Sus scrofa: one gene and its partner. The protein of the gene in region 1 interacts with the protein of each later gene in a biochemical or structural test. Links are inferred from orthologs where the notes say so. Each region holds a gene or a part of one and is shown in the gene's direction. Other genes may lie near its edges. The genes, in order: ARL2 and UNC119.

Region 1 (9,439 bases):
TGAGGACTGAAATTGGAGTGGGGAGTATGGACAGCAGCTTTAGGAGATCTGCTATAAAGGGCACGACGTAGGAGTTCCCTGGTAGCCCAGCGGTTAAGAACTTGGCGTTGTCACTGCTGTAGCTTGGGTTCCATCCCTGGCTCAGGAACTTCTGCATGCTGCAGGTGCAGTCCTGCCCCCCGCCCCCCAAATGGGGAAGGAAATCAAGGAAAAAGTAAGAAAGGAGGGGTCAAGAGAGGCTGTTTTTCACTTCTAAGTGGGAGAGACACCAGCTTGGCAGCTGAGGGGAATGAGCCTGCAGAGAAGGGACAATGGAAGCTGGTTGGGGTGGGGGGACAATCAGCTGCCAAGGATCAGGGACCCAGGCTGGGTCTCAGGAGAGGTTCTCTCACCGCCCCTCCCAGCTGCAGGGCCCCTTAAGTGGTAGAAGGAAAGAGGAGGGGGGTTTTCTCCAGCTGGTGAACTTACCCACTTGTTTGTACACCCAGCACCCAAGGGTTTGGAATATTCCAGAAACAGGAAGGGGAGGGTGGCTGCCTCCAGATCCATGCTCTTGCTATTCCCTCTGCCTAGAATGCCCCTCCCTGAGTCCTTCCAACAGCTGCTCCCTTGGAGTTTGGGCTTCAGCTCAAGATGGTGAGAGAGGCCTGCCCTGGTGTTGAGCTAAAGGAAGCTCCTCGGTGGCCTCTCCGAAAGCCTCTCACTGGGGCCGGCAATGCCTTGTGTCTCGCTTGCACTCTGCCCACTGTCTTGCCCTGGAGTGTAGACTGCACAGGGTGGGGACTGTGACTCTGCCCTCCCCCCTCCCCCGCGCCAGCACCAGGGGTGTTCTGGCACCGAGTAGGTTTGCAGCAAGCATCGTGGGATGAGTTCAGGAGCCTCTGGTCAGGAGATGATGAGAACATATTTCTTGATACTTTTCACGTGTATCATGCGGCGCTGGCAGGTCCTCCGCTGATTTTGACATGTGGTGGGAAATGATTTGTCCCCCAAGAGGGCACTGCGATGATGTCACCACCCTGCAGAGCCCGGGGACTTCTCCTTAACCTGCTGCGCCCCAGCGGCCTGGACAATGCTGGCAAAACAACCATCCTCAAGAAGTTCAACGGGGAAGACATTGACACCATCTCCCCGACGCTGGGCTTTAACATCAAGACCCTGGAGCACCGAGGGTGAGCGGGGCCCCTGCAGGCGGGCAGGGCGGGCGGGCGGGCAGGCGAGGGGCCAGGCTGACCCTCCAGCCACCCGCTCCCTGTCCAGATTCAAGCTGAACATCTGGGATGTGGGCGGCCAGAAGTCCCTGCGGTCCTACTGGCGGAACTACTTCGAGAGCACCGACGGCCTCATCTGGGTGGTGGACAGCGCCGACCGCCAGCGCATGCAGGACTGTCAGCGGGAGCTCCAGAGCCTGCTGGTGGAGGAGGTGGGCAGGACGCCTGGCCGAGCCCGGGGAGCCGGGCTTCCCCCAGTGACTGGGGCCCAGTACTTTGGGCAGATTCCTTGTGGGGTCCGTAGACCCAGAGGGACACCCAGGGTGGGATCTATTCCTTCTCTGAGGCCTCACCATGTGTCCAGCACCCTTGGGGAGGCAGAGACAAGCTGTACACGTGGTCCACGGAGGCCCACTGGGCATGGGCGGGACACGCTGGGGACTGAGACACAGGTTCACATCCTGCAGTGTCACTGCTTCAACACCCTGAGCTGCAGTTTCTATGCCTTGAATTGGGCTTTAGGGAGGATGACTTGAGGCCAGTGTGTCAAGCTTGGGGAGGCAGTGGAGCCTGGCTCAGGAGTCGGACTCTGCTGTGTGACCTCGAGGTGGGCACGTCTCTGAACCTCCACTGCCTCCTGTCTAAGATGGGCATTATAATGATGGTGATCTTAAAATCTATTGACTGGGCCACATGTTCTTTATTTTTTTTTTTTTAATAATTTAGGGGCTTTCGGAGTTCCTATTGTAGCGCAGTGGTTAACGAATCTGACTAGGAACCATGAGGTTGCCGGTTCGATCCCTGGCCTCGCTCAGTGGGTTAAGGATTCGGCGTTGCCATGAGCTGTGGTGTAGGTCACAGACGAGGCTCAGATCTTGCGTTGCTGTGGCTCTGGCGTAGGCTGGCGGCTATAGCTCCGATTCGACCCCTAGCCTGGGAACCTCCATATGCCGCGGGAGTGGCCCAAGAAATGGCAAAAAGACCAAAAAAAAAAAAAAAAAAAGACAATAATTTAGGGGCTTTCTTTCTTTCTTTTTCTTTTTCTTTTTAGGGCTGCACCTGAGGCATATGGAAGTTCTGCTAGGGGTTGCATCAGAGCGGCAGCTGCTGGCCTACACCACAGCCACAGCCACGCCAGATCTGAGCTGAGTCTTCAACCTACACCACAGCTTGTGGCAACGCTGGATCCTTAATCCACTGAACAAGGCCAGGGATCAAACCCATATCCTCATGGATACAAGTTGGGTTCGTTAACCACTGAGCCACAATTGGAACTCCCCAAAATGCTCTTCTTTAAATAAGATTTTAGATGTACAGAAAAGTTGTAAAGATAGTGAAGAGACACCCCATATATCCTTCAGCCAGCTCCCCTTCATTTACCATGGAATTTAACATCTTCCGGGACCACCATGCCTTTGTCAAAACTAAGAAATTAGGTGTTCCTGTCGTGGTGCAGCGGAAACGAAAATCTGACTAGGAACCATGAGGTTGCAGGTTTGATCCCTGGCCCCACTCAGTGGGTTAAGGCTCTGGCGTTGCCGTGAGTTGTGGTGCAGGTCACAGACGCAGCTTGGATCTGGCACTGCTGTGGCTGTGGTGTAAGCAGGCGGCTACAGGTCCAATTAGATCCCCTAGCCTGGGAACCTCCGTATGCCACGGGTGCGGCCCTAAAAAGACAAAAAAAAAAAAAAAAAGCAACAACAAACAAAATCTAAGAAATTAACATTGGTAAGTTACTACTAACTGAATTCTAGGTTTTATTAGGATTTCACCAGTTTTCCCACTAATGTCCTTTCTCTGTTTCAGGTTTGATCCAGTTTCCTACACTGCATTTAGTTAAAAACCAGGACACTTTTAAGAGTACATGAGAGAGCTGTCTGTAGTCATGCAGGGACCCCAGGCCTAAACGGGTGTTGAGCAGGTCCAGTGAGATCCTGGCTGTCCAATGCTCAGGGACCCCGAGGCCCTTTTTCTTTTCTTTTCTTTTTTTTTTTTTTTTCTTCTGGCTACACCTGCAGCATATGGAAGTTCCCAGGCTAGGGGTCGAATCAGCGTTGCAGTTGCCAGCCTACGCCACGCAGGATCCGAGGCGCCTTCTCGACTGATGCCACAGCTTGCAGCAACCCCGGATCCTTCACCCACTGCGGGAGGCCAGGGATCTAACGCGCATCCTCATGGATCCTAGTCGGGTTCTTAACCCACTGAGCCACAATGGCAACTCCTCGAGGCTCTTTTTAAGGCTGTATCCACCACCCATGTGGAGGGACTCCCAGTCCAAACACATATGGAAATAACTGGAATCACAGGCAGAGAGTGAGGCTTGTCAGGGTAATGGGACCGTTTGGAGAGCTGTGTGAACTTGGAAGAGGGAAGGTCATTTCCAACAGACCCCAGAGCCCCTGGGACAGTCGCATTCTTCATGCACCTCAGGTCATCAGAGCGGAGCAGGCTAGACCTGGAGGGCTCTGGAGCGTCTGTCCGTCACCCCCTCCCTGTTTACAGAAGAGGGTCTGAGGCTCGGAGGAGAGCAGTGCCCACTGGGTGGTGACTGGGCTGGAACCAAGGGCCTAGCCCAGCCTGGGGCTCCCTCCACCCCGTAAATGGCTGGACACAAAGGCCATCTCCCCCACCCCCACCCCGCCTGTGTCTTTCCCACTGCTATGGGACCTTGCCCTGGGTGAACAGTGGAGGGGCCAGGCTGCCCTCTGAAGCCCCCCCACACACACACCCCTCTATTTCTCTTTCCCCAGCGCCTGGCTGGTGCCACCCTCCTCATCTTTGCCAACAAGCAGGACCTGCCCGGAGCACTGTCCTCTAAGGCGATTCGCGAGGTGAGTGCAGGCCTTGGAGGAAGGAAGGGGCATGCATTTCCTTGTTAATTTAAGAAGCATTTGTTGGGAGTTCCCCGGCAGCTCAGCAGGTTGAGGATCAAGCGTTGTCACTGATGTGACTCTGGTTATGGGTATGGCGAGGGTGGGTTCGATCCCTGTCCTGAGAACTTCCACATGCCACAGGTGCAGCCAATAAGTAAATAAGTAAATAAATGAATAAGCATGTATTAGCCGTGCCGTGTGGCAGGACCTACTCAGGGTATTGGGGAGTCAGTGATTAGTAAGAGAGTTGAGCCCACAGCCCAGGGGCAGGCAGACCTGAAAATAGATTATTCCACAAGGGAACAGTAGCTTCCACGTGCTAGGCTGTGCACGGATTAACTCATTTAGTTCGCACAGCAACCTCACAAGGTAGGAACTATTACATCATTCTACACACAGTGAGGCAGGCTTAGAAAGGTAACTGGCCCAGGGTCACAGGGTAAGCAGACAAGCCAGGATTTAAACACAGGCCGGTGTGACTCCAGATTGTATCTTAACTCTCTCTCTTTACTTTTTTTAAATGTCTTTGAGTCACTTTTATTTGTTTTTTATTTTTGTCTTTTTTTTTTTTTTTTGCTTCTGCGGCATATGGAGGTTCCCAGGCTAGGGGTCTAATCGGAGCTGTAGCCGCCGGCCTATGCCACAACCACAGCAACGCACGATCCAAGCCACCTCTGCAACCTACACCACAGCTCACGGCAACGCCAGATCCTTAACCCACTGAGCAAGGGCAGGGATCGAACCCGCAACCTCATGGCTCCTAGTCAGATTTGTTAACCACTGAGCCACAACGGGAACTCCTATTTGTTTTTTATTTTTATATTTTGTCTTTTTAGGGCCGCACCCGTGGCATATGGAGTTTTCCCAGGCTAGGGGTCGAATCAGAGCTGTAGCCGCTGGTCTACACCACAGCCACAGCTACTCAGGATCTGAGCCGAGCCTTCGACCTACACCACAGCTCATAGTGACACCAGATCCTTAACCCACTGAGCGAGGCCAGAGATTGAACCTGCATCCTCATGGATGCTAGTCAGATTCGTTGCCACTGAACCAGGATGGGAACTCTTTTTTTTTTTTTTTTTTTTTGACAAAGCAAAAAGCTTTATTGGGAAGAGGCTCCCTGGGCAGAGAACAGTAGGGTAAGGGAATCGGATTTGCTGCCATGTGGCTCAAAGCCTCAGGTTTTATGGTAATGAGGTTAGTGTCTGGGTTGTCTCTGGCCAGTCATCTTGTTTGGCCCATAATTTGGTCTGAGCTGGGGTCCTTTTCTGGTGGCACATGCATCCCTCAGCCAAGATGGATTCCAGCGCCAAGGATCCTGGGAGGTTGGTCACCTCCTTCCTTCTCTCGGCCCCTCCCAAATTCTCCTGGTTAGTATTTGGCAGCACGTGTTCCTTCTTGGGACCTCCCATTGTCAGAGTGCATCTTAAGTCTGATTGTAGACTGGAAGGCTAGAACGAGAAAGAGTGGGGTTAGAAACTGGGTTCTGCCACTTACTAGCTGTGTGACTTTAGGAGGTTGCTTAACCTCTCTGAAGTTTCCTCCTCAGTAAAATGGCCAGTACAATCCCTGGCTCATGGGGCCTTGGGGGGGAATGGGTGAGAGGATACTGTAGGGCCCAGAGCACCACATCGGGAGCCCTTGTTGCCGTGCTGGTCTGGCTGTCGTGTACAGAGAGCTCAGGTGCTCTGGACGGTGGAGCGGAAGCGGGGTGCGGGGGTGTGTGTGACACATCTTCACCAGGGGCCAGGGGAAGCCTCCCACAGCAGGCCCTGGAGGGAGGTGTGGATTTCCCCTGGGCCAGGAGGGGAAAGGGGCTGAGGGGGGTCGGGCCCTGTGGACACCGGGGCCCTCTGTCACCTTCCTCCCTTCTAGGCCCTGGAGCTGGACTCCATCCGCAGCCACCACTGGTGCATCCAGGGCTGCAGTGCCGTCACCGGGGAGAACCTGTTGCCTGGCATCGACTGGCTCCTGGATGACATCTCCAGCCGCATCTTCATGGCCGACTGAGCCACTCCAGATGCCCCCTCACCTCACGGTCCAGGCGCCCCCACCAGGCCCTCGCCAGGCACCATCCACGCGGGCATGGGAGTCAGCCAGCCCCACTAACACCCCTGCCCCACTCCATAACCTGCTGCTGCTACTGCTGCCCACTGCTGCTCCGGGGCCAGCCGGCTCCCGCCCTGGCTGTCACCCTGGCTCCTAACTTGGCCTGCGGCAGCAGCAACTATACCAAGAAGAGAGGGCTGGGGCTGGGAGGGGGCTGCGTCTGCTGCTGTCAAGGCTGTGGGCCTCGTCTTTTGCTCAGCTGTGAGAATAAAGTGTTCCTCGCCCCCATTCCTGGCTGAGTCATTTGTTGATTCAACAACCCTAGAGACCGCCTGGAGTTCATTGGCCAGCAGAGGACAGAAAAGGTAATTGCAGTCCGAGGTGAACTCGCTGTATGAAAGGGACTGCAGAGAGTTAGAAAAGTGCAGGACAGGGCTGCTGGGAGACGGGGTGAGGGGGGAGCAGGGAGGCGGGGAGCGGGGGGGACGGACTCCGATGCAGGAAGGAGGAGCAGGCATCAAGTAGAGCAAGCTAACGAAGAGCAGAGCTGCGAAGGGGCCTTCCCTCAAGGCTCAAGGGCATTTCTGAAGCAGGAACCAGACTGGGAGAGCATGGGAACCAGGGGGACCCCAGGACCCCCATCCAGGTGGCAGAGCAGATGGAAGTTTTCACAGGGCCCCCTGCTGTGGTCCTGCCAGTGGTGCTTTCTCTGCAGGGTTCCCTCTGAAGATTTGTCACTTGCCATCACACTGAAGAACAGCCCCAAACAGGACAGATTCTCAGTGTCCCCATTCATAAAGCAACTGAGCCTCCGGGAGGAGACGTGACTTACCCAAAACTATCCACCTAGGGCGTTCCCACTGTGGCTCAATGGTAATGAACCCGACAAGCATCCACGAGACACAGGTTCCATCCCTGGCCTCACTGGGTTAAGGATCCATGCATTGCCGTGAACTGTGGTGTATGTAGGTCACAGACGCAACTCAGATCTGCCGTGGCTGTGGCTGTGGTGTAGGCCAGGGGCTACAGCTCTGATCGGACCCCTAGCCTGGGAACTTCTGTATGCCACAGGTAGGCCCTAAAAAGACAAAAACAAAAAAACCCTATTCAGCTAGGAAGCAAGGGCCCAGGATTTGGACCCAGCACGCTTAGCCACTAAACCCTGCTGGTTTTAGTTTTTGTTTCTTTTCTCGAAACTCAATGCCAGGTGCAAGGAGCCTAATGTGTCTATGAGGGAAGGGCAGTTTTCTCAAGGGAAAAGAGGAAGAATGACCAATTTACTCTTAAACCAGGACCCTTTCCTGAAGGGGAGGGGCCTATGCAAAATTTGGGCTCTGTTAGGGTGGAAGAAGGGAGGTGTTGAGCGGACAAACTTAGAACATAAGCTTTCCAGTGCGGAACTATAGAACCACCTGCCCTGGAGTCCCTGTCGTGGCTCAGTGCTTAATGAACCTGACTAGCATCCATGAGGATGCAGGTTTGATCCCTGGTCTCGCTCAGTGGGTTAAGGATCTGGCGTTGCTGTGAGCAGTGGTGTAGGTCGCAGAGGCGGCTTGGATGCAGTGTTGCTGTGGCTGTGGCGTAGGCAGGCAGATGTAGCTCTGATTGGACCCCTAGCCTGGGAACCTCCATATGTTGTGGGTGTGGCCCTAAAAAGCAAAAAAAAAAAAAAAAAAAAGGAAAAAAAGAAAAGAAGAAAGAAAGAACTAACTTGTTTCCATGATCTTAAGAGTCTGACTTGGGAGTTTGCATTGTGTTTCTTTCTGGAGTTACAGCACCCACTCATCTGAGTTCCAGTAAAGAGAGTGGCCATGAGCGCTGTACCCATGCTCCCTCATTTAAGCTTCACAGCCTGGGGGTGGTAGCATCAGGCAGGGTCTTGCATGGTTTGCCAGATACAAATTACGACTGCTTTCCACAGAAAGAAATTTTCTCCGGGAGTTCCCGTCATGGTGCGGCGGAAACAAATCTGACTAGGAGCCATGAGGTTGTGGGTTCAATCCCTGGCCTCGCTCAGTGGGTTAAGGATCCAGCGTTGCCGTGAGCTGTGGTGTAGGTTGCAGACACAGCTCACATCTGGCATTGCTGTGGCTGTGGCTGTGATGTAGGCCTGCAGCTATAGCTCCAATTCAACCCCTAGCCTGGGAACCTCCATATGTTGTGGGTGTGGCCCTAAAAAGCAAAAAAAAAAAAAAAAAGCAAAAAAAAAAAGAAAAGAAGAAAGAAAGAACCTTTCGAGGAAGGACACTGGGAACTCATAGCATCTTGATGGAAGTCAGATATCTAGGCTTGTAAAACAGAGTGCTCCAAAAGGCTGGACAGCCAAACCTACAGCCAACACTGTACTCAGGGAACAATTCAATCCCCTTGCCATGCATTCTGTCCCTCACTCAAGATTTAAGGCTTCAGGAGAGAGCCCACCACCCTGCCCTGGGACCTGGGATAAGGAAAGCAGCCTCCACCTTTGGATTCTGGGCTACCAGGCCCACGGGCTGCACACACCAGTGAACCACCTCCAAACAAAGATCTGGTGCTAAGATGCTAACAGCAGGAGGCAGCGGTGAATGCCGGACAGGCCACCAAAGGATAAAGAAACATCTGCTGCAGTAGATTCTATTATAAACCTCCCCATTCTAGAGATGAGAAACTGAGGCTCAAGGGAAACTCATGGGCTAAGGGAAACTCATGGGCTAAGGGAAACTCATGCAGACAGTAAGAGCCCATGACACCATCGTTTCAACACCCCCCCCCTCCTTCCAGAAAACATGAATTTCGTGAATCCTAGGGAGGGAGAAATAATTTGACACTGTCTGGCATATATTGAATACAGTAAAAGTCAGGTGGATGGATGAAATAAGTCATTTAGAGAGACTGCGATGAGGGTTTACAGCTCACATGGGGTAGGCTCATGTCTAGGCAAAACCTAGTTATCCACCCATCCTAATGCTTACTCTCAAATTGTCTCGTTCATGCTTCACCAACAACCGAGAACTTTTTAGACGCTCCCTTGGCCGAGCGCCCCGGCCGAGAACTGCACTGTCACTTGCGACCAGGTCCCTGGGCAAAAGGATGAAGGGCGCAAGCCCAGGAGAGGCGTTGGCTCGTGGAGACTGACCTGGAGGGGCGGGGGCGGCGCGGAGGAGGCGGAGGGCGGCGGGCAGCTCCGCTCCAGCTCGTTTGCCATGTCCCGCCAGGCGAAGGACGACTTCCTGCGGCACTACACAGTCTCCGACCCCCGGACCCACCCCAAGGGCTACACCGAGTACAAAGTCACCGCGCAGGTGAGATGGGGCCCAGCGGGGACTT
Region 2 (10,140 bases), on another chromosome or scaffold:
GGGTTTGATCCCTGGCCTTGCTCAGTGGGTTAAGGATCCAGCATTGCCACCAGCTGCAGTGTAGGTCACAGGTGCAGCTTGAATCCAGTGTTTCTGTTGCTGTGGCTATGATGTAGGTGGGCAGCTGTAGCTCCCGATTGGACTCCTAGCCCAGGAACTTCCATATGCTACAGGTGCAGCCCTAAAAAAAAGAAACAAAAAAAAAGAAAAGAAAAATAGCTGTTAATTCTTGGGCTAACAGATCATTAATAGTGGTTTCCTGACACCCTACATTGAGGATTCTAAGGCTGTGCCTGGGCTCATCAGGAAAGAGGATTCTGATTGATTAGCAATGTCTGCCATGGGTGTAGGAATAGAGAGGCGTGGCACGTATGCCTTGTCAGGTGGTCCTGGATCATCCCTTAACTAAGGTGCAGGGGCCTCATTTGTCCAAAGAGAGATAGACGGGAGGGGGTGAAATTAAATATTTTAGCCATGGACCCTAAGACCCCAAGGCAGTGCTGCAACCCCTGTCCTGTGGCTCTGGGTAAGACTGAAATTCTTAGTACCTTTTTTTGTGTGTGTCTTTTTTTTAGGGCTGCACCCAGAACATATGGAAGTTCCCAGGGGTTGAATCAGTGCTGCAGCTGCCAGCCTATACCCACAGCCACAGCAATGTAGGATTTCAGCTGCATCTGCAACCTACATCACATCTCATGACAGTGCCGGATCCTTAACCCACTGAGCAGGACCAGGGATTGAACGCACATCCTCATGGACACTAGACGGGCCACAGAGGGAACTCCTATCCTCAGAATCTTAACCGTCTTTTTCCACCTTCTAGTCTCAGACCCTTTGACCTTCTTTGCTCGCTGTTCCTACAGGTTGCTCTTTGGGATTGCTCAGCCCCAGGTGCCTCCAAAATGCCTGTTTTCAGGGCCTAAGAGTGAAGGGATAATGACCTGGGAGCTAGACCGGCTGCTCTGGGCTCGGTCCGTGGAGAACCTGGCCACAGCCACCACCACTCTGACTTCTCTGGCCCAGCTTCTAGGCAAGATCAGCAATATTGTCATCAAGGACGATGTGGCATCTGAGGTAAGCAGGCAGGGGATGGATTCTGTGACCTAGGACGAGTAGCCACCAGGACCAGGGTGTGGTGAAACCAGAGAGCCATCGAGGTTCAGGAAGTGTATGGGCATGCCATCCTTGAGTGCCCGGGGTTTCCTCTAGAGGGCAGTGCCAACTCCCTGGTAGGAATCCAGATGGGGTGTAAGGAGTTAAACAGGCTGTAAGAAAATACACCCTGCCCTTTTTTTTTTTTTTAATTTTAGGGCCACACCCACGGCATGTGGAAGTTCCCAGGCCAGGGGCGGAATCAGCTGTAACTGCCGGCCTATGCCACAGCCACAGCAACATCATATCCGAGCCGTGTCCGTGACCTGCACCATAGCTCACGGCAGTGCCGGATCCTTAACCCACTGAGCAGGGCCAGGGATCGAACTGGCATCCTCATGGATGCGAGTCAGATTGTTTCTGATGATCCGCGACGGGAACTCGCACCTTACCCTTTTTATACTGGCCTCTGCATATCCTGGGCAAACTCTAGGCAGACGGAAGACCCAGTGAGGCCCTCCCCTGCCCTCCCCACCAACTGCTGCCTAGGACTTTTTGGTAACCCCCTACTCCCTTCCTAGGTGTACAGGGCCGTGGCTGCAGTCCAGAAGGCAGCGGAGGAGTTGGCCTCTGGACACCTGGCCTCTGCCTTTGCTGCCAGCCAGGAGGCTGTGACGTCCTCAGAGCGTGCCTTTTTTGATCCCTCGCTGCTCCACCTCCTCTATTTCCCTGATGACCAGAAGTTTGCCATCTACATCCCGCTCTTCCTGCCTATGGCTGTGCCCATCCTTTTGTCCCTGTTCAAGATCTTCCTGGAGACTCGCAAGTCCTGGAAGAAGCCTGAGAAGATAGACTGAGCAGGGCAGCATCTCAGTAGGAAGCCTTCCTTTTTGGCCAGCATGGGAGCTGTTAGGCTGAGAGGCAGATAAGTGGGGCCTGCCACGAATGACTTGTCTCCAGCCTGCTCTGTCGCCCCTGCAACGGTTGAAGTCTAACACTCCAAGAGGGTTTCATCTCTCCTTTCCCTCCCATTCATCTGGCTCAGGGCTCTCCCACTCTTCAAGCCCTCCAACCCCCTCCTCAAAAGACACATCATTGGTGTCTCCTTACCGGTCTTGAACTTGAGGGCCCTTTTCTCTCTCCCTCTGGGCAGGGGCAGCTTGTGCCTCTGCCCTGTTCCCCACAGTCCTCTTGCACTGAGAGGGAGCACTGGGGGAAAGCCCTGGGTTGGATTCTAGGGCTCTGCCCTCCAGGCCCTCAGGGAGAGCCCTAGCACTGCTCCCATGGAAAGGGCTGGGCTCCTGTCACCTCTGGGGCCTTCTCCCTTACTCCCCTTGCTCCAGGCTGGCTACACCTGTTGGGTGCAGCCTATTGCTGTGTGTGGCAGAGGTTGCCTTTATCTTTACCTAGAGGCAGTATGGTGCGGTGGGGAAAATTCCGGACTTGGGATCAAACACATCTGAATTCAAACCCTTGCTTCTGCCCTTATCATCTGGGGAGCTTTGAGTAGGCCACTTAATCCTCCCTGAGCCTCAGTTTTTCATTTAAAAATAGCACTGATACCTCCCTTACAAGGTGGTTGTGAGTATTAAATGGATGAGCATGTGAAAGTGTCTGGCATATTCTAGGCTCTCAATAAACGTTGGTTGAATGTGAATTGGAATTATATGAAGTATGAGTGTAACTTTCATTCATTTGTGTTTTAAGTAATGATTTCCTGATGCCTGTCCTCCTGGGCTCACTGGTCCACTTTGCTTCTACTGGCTATGTGCCCTTCCTGCCTCCCTATCTTGGAGGGCCCTGTGGTGGCTAGAATCTTGTAGGCTATTGTCCCTCAGTGTGTCCTGGCTTGTCTAGCAGGGGGTTTGGGAGAGAATAGCTTTTACTGGTGTAAGCCCTCAGATACTAACTAATTCATAAATTCAAAAATAAAATAAAATTGACCCTTTAAGAATGCAGGGGTTGGGACACCCACCTTCCGGTGCATTCAGAATCAGAGTATAATTTATCATTGGCCCTGGGTATTAGCAGTTTCGCATCTGCAGTTTCACCCAACCTTCCATTGTGTAGTATTTTTTATTGGAAAAAAGTGCACATATAAGTGGCCCTACACACTTCAAACTCATGTCGTTCAAGGGCCAGCTGTATTGAGCACAGGCTGCAGTGGGCATTATGCAAGGTGCTGAGTGGTATTTTAGAGAACGGATAGGACCTCTGCTTTTAAGTAATTGGTCTTTAAGGGGGAAAGAGTGAACAAACGAAACTAATTTCAGATAATGCTTTAGAAAGAAAAAATAGGCTGATCAGATAGTGACTGGGGGTTGGTATTGGTACTTGAGATTGTGAGTCTGAGAGGGCCTCTGAGCAGAGGTATTTGAGCTGAGACTAGAAGGACAAGAGGAGGCCTTCTGGGGGAAGAGCATCCCAGGCAAAGACCCTGAGGCGGGAACTCTTTTGAGGGGCGGAGAGAAGGGCGGAGCGGCTGGAGTACAGCGAGTAAGGAGAAGGTAGCCTTAAAATTCCTACAGATAAAAGTGGGAACAAAAATGAGAGAACCTGGGAGCGAGCCTCAACCCTGCCCGCGTGAGTAGCTCAGGTGGGCGGGCGGTGGGCGGGGCCAGTTCTGGGCCCACCCCGGGGGCGGGGCGGTACCTGGGGCCCCGGCGGGGGCGGGGCTGCGGACGCTCCCCCTTTGCTCCAGCCGGCGCAGGCAGCCGCGGCGGCAGCAGGCGAGCCGCGGCCCCGCGAGGCCATGAAGGTGAAGAAGGGCGGCGGCGGGGCCGGGACGGCGGCGGAGCCCGCTTCAGGGGCCTCGGGCCCAAGCGTGGAGCCCAAGCTGGAGCCGCAGGCGGAATCCGGGTCCGGGTCCGAGTCGGAGCCGGAGGCAGGCTCGGGGCCCAGGCCGGGGCCGCTGCAGAGGAAGCAGCCGATCGGGCCGGAGGACGTGCTGGGGCTGCAGCGGATCACGGGCGGTGAGCACCAAGCGAGGGAACGCCGCCGGCAGGCGGGAGCTAGAGAGGGCCCTCGAGGCGCGCGGAGCCCGGGCCCCCGCCCCCTTTCCCTCCCTCCCCTGCCTCCCCTCCCCCACCCGGGTCTCCCTGGCCGGTGTCCCCTATCCTTCTGCCTCTGGGCCTGAGATCTCCATGTACCTCCTTCCTTTGATATCTCTCTGTGCCCCCTTCTTTCTGTAGAGATTTCTTTCCACCCGACTCTTTCCTTTTTGAAGAGTCTATCCCCCTTTTCCAAGGGTGGAGGTGGGCAGCAGCTGCTACTGTGACCCCTTCCCCACAGTCCTCAGAACCCTGTGAAGATTTTCTCTGCAATAACGAGGAGGGGGGCTAAGGGCAGTCTGTCCTCAGTCTCCACCCTGGAGGCTTGGTGGAGGCAGAGTTACTTGGGTGGTATCAAAACCCTCCTGTCTCCCTGATCGTTAATGCCCTCACCCTGGACACCCCAGGAAGTCTGAAGCCATCCTCCTACCCCGGAAAGAACCTGAAGAGGAAACTTCAGTGGGTTGGCTCTGGGCTCTCTCAAGGGAGTGGGTTAATGAATGCCCCCCCCCCCCCCCGCGCCACCCCACGCAGCCTGGACTAGGGCCTGACCTCTTCTGGGAGGCCAAGTCTCCACTGTGGCTGAGTTTCTGAGCTCGACCTGCCTAAGCTGAACTTCCAGCTTTGTCGTGTAATTGGCTGTATGATCTTGGGCTCATAACTTCACCTCTCTGCACATATTCACCTGTAAAATGGGGATAATAACTCCTACCTTACAGAGCTATTGTGAAAATAAATCCTCTGATTTTGCACCGTGCCTGGCGTTGTGCATGCCCTGTAAATAGGGCTCTTTTATCAATAGTACTGAGGGCCCCACAGGACTGCTCATAGCTGCTGCTGAGAGGCAGACAACTGGGCATTCAGGGCAGGGGAGGGGGTCACCAGAGGCAGGCAACAAGGACCAGGAAGTCTCATGGCAGAGGCAGTGGTTGAGCGTCAAAGAACACAGCATTTGGAGAGGCAGTGGCTTTCTACCTCGACCTCATTGATCAGTAACCCTACCCTGGCTCCCTCTGTGACAGTAGCTCTTGGGGCCTCTCGGTGGGGGTGGGGGGCAAATGCTGGAGTGGACCTTAGCTCTGGAGCTGCAGGAACGGCAGAGCCCGGGGCTTCCAGTCAGAGCTGTGAAGGGGACCTGACAGCAGGTCTAGGCTTGTGCATCTGGGTCCCTGGGGGACCAGCCTCTTCCTCCTCGCTAAGCCAGGCAGCCATTCTTGGCTGGGCCCCCAGAGCCGCTGAGCTGCCTTGCCTGAGCCGGCGCTGGTAGAGGGAAGGTACCTGGACTAGTCTGATGTTGGTGCCAGTTGGACTGTCATTGGCAACAGCAGCATTTAGGGTTCAGGTTAGTCTGGGGCAGAACTTCTTTTTTTTTTTTTTTTTTTTTTTTTTGCTTTTCATGGCCACATCCACAGCATATGGAAGTTCCCAGGCTAGGGGTCGAATCGGAGCTGGAGCCACAGCAATGCAGGATCCGAGCCGTGTCTTCGACCTACGCACCACAGCTCATGGCCATGCTGGATCCTTAACCCACGGAGCGAGGCCAGGGATCGAGCCCGCATCCTCATGGATATTAGTCAGATTCATCTCCAATATGCCACAATGGGAACTCCTGGGGCAGAAGTTCTTTACTGAGGGTCTAACTTGTCCAGGTCCTAGGTAACTTTAGAGGTTATTTTGCAGCTATGGGGGCTTCCAGCCCATGTACATTTGTCTCGGAATCGGGAAGAAATTCATAGCTCTTTGAGATGTGACACCTGTGGGGGATGAGTAGAGGAGAGGGTTTCACAGGAGCCCTTTCCTTTGCAGAAGTTGAGAACAGGGCTCCAGGACTCTCCCCCCACGGCCTCTTCTGACCCTAATCACACAGGTCTGAGGTTTGCTCTGCCCGGATTACCCAGCGCTGAATCCAGCTTAGGAAGCTATTTGTGGCCGAGAGGAAGGGAGCAGTTGTGTTCTGAACCCTTGGCTACGCTGCCCCTTATCTGGGCTGACCCCGGGTCCCTGGCCTTATCCTTCTCTGGTAGAGGGAGGGAGTGGATGTGGTGTCCTGAACCATGGGCATCCTTGTTTCTCACTTCCTCTAAGGACAGAGGGGTTGAAAGGTTGAGTTTGCAGCAGGAGAGACTGAGGCCAGACTGCAAGGCGTTCTCAAATGAGAGGAGAGGTCCCAGAAGTTAGAAAACGGGGGACGAAGGAGGGCTTCATGGGGAGCTGGGACTTGGGCCACTAGGATGCCGTTCCCACTTTTGTCATATCCTCTTCCTATGCCCTACAGCTTCCTTCTGCAGCTCTGGATTAATGCTTACTTTCTGTGAAAATAAAGTGTGTACAGGGTGAGGTAGGTAGGAGCTGCCTACTTCCATTCTGCCCCCTATCCTCTCCCCACCATGGGCTGTGGTGGACAAGCTGTTGCTCAGGCCCCTCCATAAGCCTTCTAGTCTTTGCTGGACCCCATCGTGCCAGGTGGCTACCTGGAGGGCTTCCTGGAGGGGGCTGTCGCAGGCTTGGGGAAGAGAGAATAATTTTACATTCACTTCCTCTTCCTGCCCCAGAGGAATGGGAGGTGGCCCAGGGGCCTAGAGGGTGATTTCCGGGCCTCTATGGGGAGGATGTGATGCTGGGCAGGGTGACAGCATCAGAGCCCCTGCTGCACCTCTCTGCTCCTTCCTATTTGCTCCAGGACCTCCCTGAGTGCTTGCAGTTGTTGCTGCAAGAGCAGTGAGGGTTGGATCAGGCCCTGCTGTTCCTGAGCTTCCTCAAGTGGACCCACCACTGTTCCTGCTTCCTCTTCTGGGCCCGAGGACTCCCCTTACCCCGTGCACAACCCTGCTGCACCTGCCACACCCTCTTCCTGGCCTTGTGGGGGTGGCTCGAGTCAGAACACAGAGAACATGGCTCCCTGTGTTCTCTAAGACCTCCTCCCGCTGGAAGATCAACAGGGGATAGGAGCAATTCCCACCCCCGCCCCCCGTAGTCCGGGCTCTGGGCTTGAGTCAGCAGAGCTTTGGCTAAGCTGCTTAAGGGAGCTGGGTTTGTGTAAGCCTCTTATGGGCAGAGGAGGGGCCCGTGGGGGGCCGGGGATGAGGAGGAACAGAGAAAGGGGTGTTCGTCTGCCCTAGCACTACCCAGGTCAGAGAAAGTCCTTGCCTGACACACTTAGAGGTGGCGCCAGGGGCGGCTGTGGGGTGGGGACGGCGGTATCCTATCCTGGGGTAGAGCTGTGTCTCCCGCCTTAGAGTGAGGTACCCCAAAGCAGGGCTGTATCTTCCCTCTCATGCTGGGTGGTGGTGGGGGGTGTTGCCCCATCAGATTAGAGACTCATTTGACTGAAAGTCATCAAGCCAGGGCTGGCAAAGCAGAGGCTGAAATAAGGGCTCTCAACTCCCCGGTGGGAGGGGAAGTGTGGGGGAGGTGGCTTTGACCTCCACCCTGCTTCTCCCTGATCCCAGAGGCTACTCAAATAGAACCATTTGTCCCCATTAGATCCTGATTGCAGAACTATGACTCCCCCACACTGGGCTCCCCCAGGGCAGGGGCTCAATTCTCTCTGGAAGACAGTGACCTTAGGCATCAGAGAAATTGGTGACTAGTTCAGGGTCCTATGAAAACTGAGCGGGCAGCAGGGGCTTCTGGGCAGGCCCTCTCCTTGCTCAGTTGCCCATCTCCCCTAGACTACCTGTGCTCCCCCGAGGAGAATATCTACAAGATCGACTTTGTCAGGTTCAAGATTCGGGACATGGATTCAGGCACTGTCCTTTTTGAAATCAAGAAGCCCCCAGCCTCAGGTGAGTGGATTGGCTGGGCCATCAACAGAGGGAGGTGGACAGGGGCCATGAAGTGGGCTTGCCCAGGGACTCCTCAGGCCACCAAGTCAGAGCAGAGCTGGGACGTGGGCCCCAGCCTTCTCAGGAGTCACCAGGCAGGGGGCGCTCTGCCTGAGGCTGGGCCTCTTCTTTTCCTTTTCTTGGGTTGATGGGGTTGGACATCCTGGGAGGGCTGCCCTGCCTCTTCAGTCTTTGCCAGCCTGCCCTCTGCAGGCCTCCCTGGGAACTGCAGTCCCAGAGGTTCCAGGTCTTTTTATTTCTTGTGGCTCTGGGGACCTCAGTTGAAATTGGTGACCTGCTGACCTAGAACCCTTAGGTGAAAGCATTCGGCCACTGGTCTGAACCCTCAGTGTGCGTTAGGATCTCCTGGGGAGTTTAGATAAATTCAGACAGATGGGGGCCCCAGCTTGAAGCCCACTGAGCCCCAGCTGGGATACATTACAGAGAGGTTGCCCATCAACCCACGGGACCTGGACCCCAATGCTGGGCGCTTTGTCCGCTACCAGTTCACGCCTGCCTTCCTCCGTCTGAGGCAGGTGGGAGCCACGTGAGTCACGGGGCTGGGGTGAGGGGTGGGGGCGGGGTGAGGGTGGGGGTGAGGGCGGGAGTGAGCCCTTCCTGAGTTCTTACCGAGCCTCTCTTGGGGTGGTCTCTCCCGAGCCAGGCTGGCTGTTGGGGCGGCCCAGCTCAGCCCTGCCCCCCTCTGTCACTCAGGGTGGAGTTCACAGTGGGAGACAAGCCTGTCAACAACTTCCGCATGATTGAGAGGCACTACTTCCGCAACCAGCTGCTCAAAAGCTTTGACTTCCACTTTGGTTTCTGCATCCCCAGCAGCAAGAACACCTGCGAGCACATCTACGACTTCCCCCCGCTCTCTGAGGAGCTGAGTGCGTGTGCAGGGCCCTGGGGGGTAGGGGGGGAGCAAGGCTGGCGGGAAGCTCAGAGACACCACGCTGGGGTCTGAGCCCCTTTCTTTCCACCTGAGGTCTCCTGTGTCTGGCCACCATTCGTATGTCACCTAGAGGGAAACTGAGGCTCCCAGAGCCTGGGGGAACTCTTTGTTCAGCTTGTCCTAGTGCCCTAGTCCTGAAGCCCCTGCTGATTTTTGCCCCAACTGGCTGGGCCTCTCTTGCAGTCAACGAGATGATCCGTCACCCGTATGAAACACAGTCTGACAGCTTCTACTTCGTGGATGACCGGCTGGTGATGCACAACAAAGCAGACTATTCCTACAGCGGGACGCCCTGACCCCAAACCGCCCCTACCCCAGGAGGGTCCTGGGCCCCAGCTGTGCCCACCCCGATACTCACCTCTCCACCCCAGGTCTTCTGCCTGGGGAGTGTTTCAGGAGCCCTGGACCCTGAGTCAGTGTTGGGAGGGAGGGTGCCTGATGTCCCCAGTTCAAGTCCGTGAAGCCCAGGGGGCCTGGCACGTGGGGTGGGTGTAGGGGGGCTATTTGCCTCCGTGTCCAGCAAGGCCTCCCGTGGGAAGTGGAGTAGCCACGACTTCCGGTCAGCCTAGCTGGGCCTCTTGGGCCCAAGTTTCAGAATAGTGTTCCCCTATCCAGGCTTTGACTAGGTCGGGCAGGAGCCCATGCCCTGTCCCCTGCCCACCACCGACAGGCCATTTAGAGTTGTAAGGTCACAGACAAAGATCCATGTGGGGTCTGGCAGCCAAGCTTCCCAAGGGAGTTGGGGCCTTGACCCCAGCCCCGCCTCCACCATCAGGGGCTGAGACACTGCCCGAGGTGTGGGAGGGATGCGCCAGAGGGCAGCCCGTGGGAGGGACTGGACCAACTGTATATAGTTTTCAATAAACTCTTTCTCCTTTGCTGCTCTCTGGTCGTGGGCCAGCATGTGTGTGTGTGGTGGTGGTTTTGAGGGGCGGGGAGGACAATGTGGTTCTGTCTCCGGATCCTCTGCACCCTGACACCACGCTCAGCCTCTAGAGTCAGCATTTAGGCTGTATTGTAGATGGAATGGCTTTTTCCTTTGATAAAACGGAGACTCAGGCCCCGAGAGGGAAGGCTTTGGCCCAAGGTCCTGGCCAACCCTGAAGAACAGGCTGCGACAAGCTAGGAGGGAAGGTGTTGGGGAGGGGGCCTGACCCTCTATCCTACCTTCCCTGATCCCGAGAGGCCGTGGGACCATTCATTTGTCCTTTTAGCCCTCATT

What was found.
Region 2: the proteins of ARL2 (region 1) and UNC119 form a complex in vitro, tested with the Homo sapiens proteins (2 studies listed by BioGRID and IntAct, with this or other methods). The link is inferred for Sus scrofa from reciprocal best matches to the Homo sapiens genes ARL2 and UNC119.

Annotation. Positions count from the first base shown.
Region 1 is NC_010444.4:7,154,945-7,164,383, reverse strand, and holds the end of ARL2 (ADP-ribosylation factor-like protein 2), read left to right. Parts: intron 1-994; coding exon 995-1,172; intron 1,173-1,260; coding exon 1,261-1,423; intron 1,424-3,961; coding exon 3,962-4,042; intron 4,043-5,149; exon of another isoform or gene 5,150-5,535; intron 5,536-5,959; coding exon 5,960-6,094; 3' UTR 6,095-6,421; downstream 6,422-9,439. Other genes in the region: SNX15 (sorting nexin-15), read left to right, coding at 9,316-9,414. UniProt on the Homo sapiens protein: Small GTP-binding protein which cycles between an inactive GDP-bound and an active GTP-bound form, and the rate of cycling is regulated by guanine nucleotide exchange factors (GEF) and GTPase-activating proteins (GAP).
Region 2 is NC_010454.4:44,800,946-44,811,085, reverse strand, and holds UNC119 (protein unc-119 homolog A), read left to right. Parts: upstream 1-3,751; 5' UTR 3,752-3,844; coding exon 3,845-4,064; intron 4,065-7,813; coding exon 7,814-7,927; intron 7,928-8,410; coding exon 8,411-8,513; intron 8,514-8,680; coding exon 8,681-8,853; intron 8,854-9,101; coding exon 9,102-9,214; 3' UTR 9,215-9,821; downstream 9,822-10,140. Other genes in the region: PIGS (GPI transamidase component PIG-S), read left to right, coding at 864-1,074, 1,674-1,949. UniProt on the Homo sapiens protein: Involved in synaptic functions in photoreceptor cells, the signal transduction in immune cells as a Src family kinase activator, endosome recycling, the uptake of bacteria and endocytosis, protein trafficking in sensory neurons and as lipid-binding chaperone with specificity for a diverse subset of myristoylated proteins.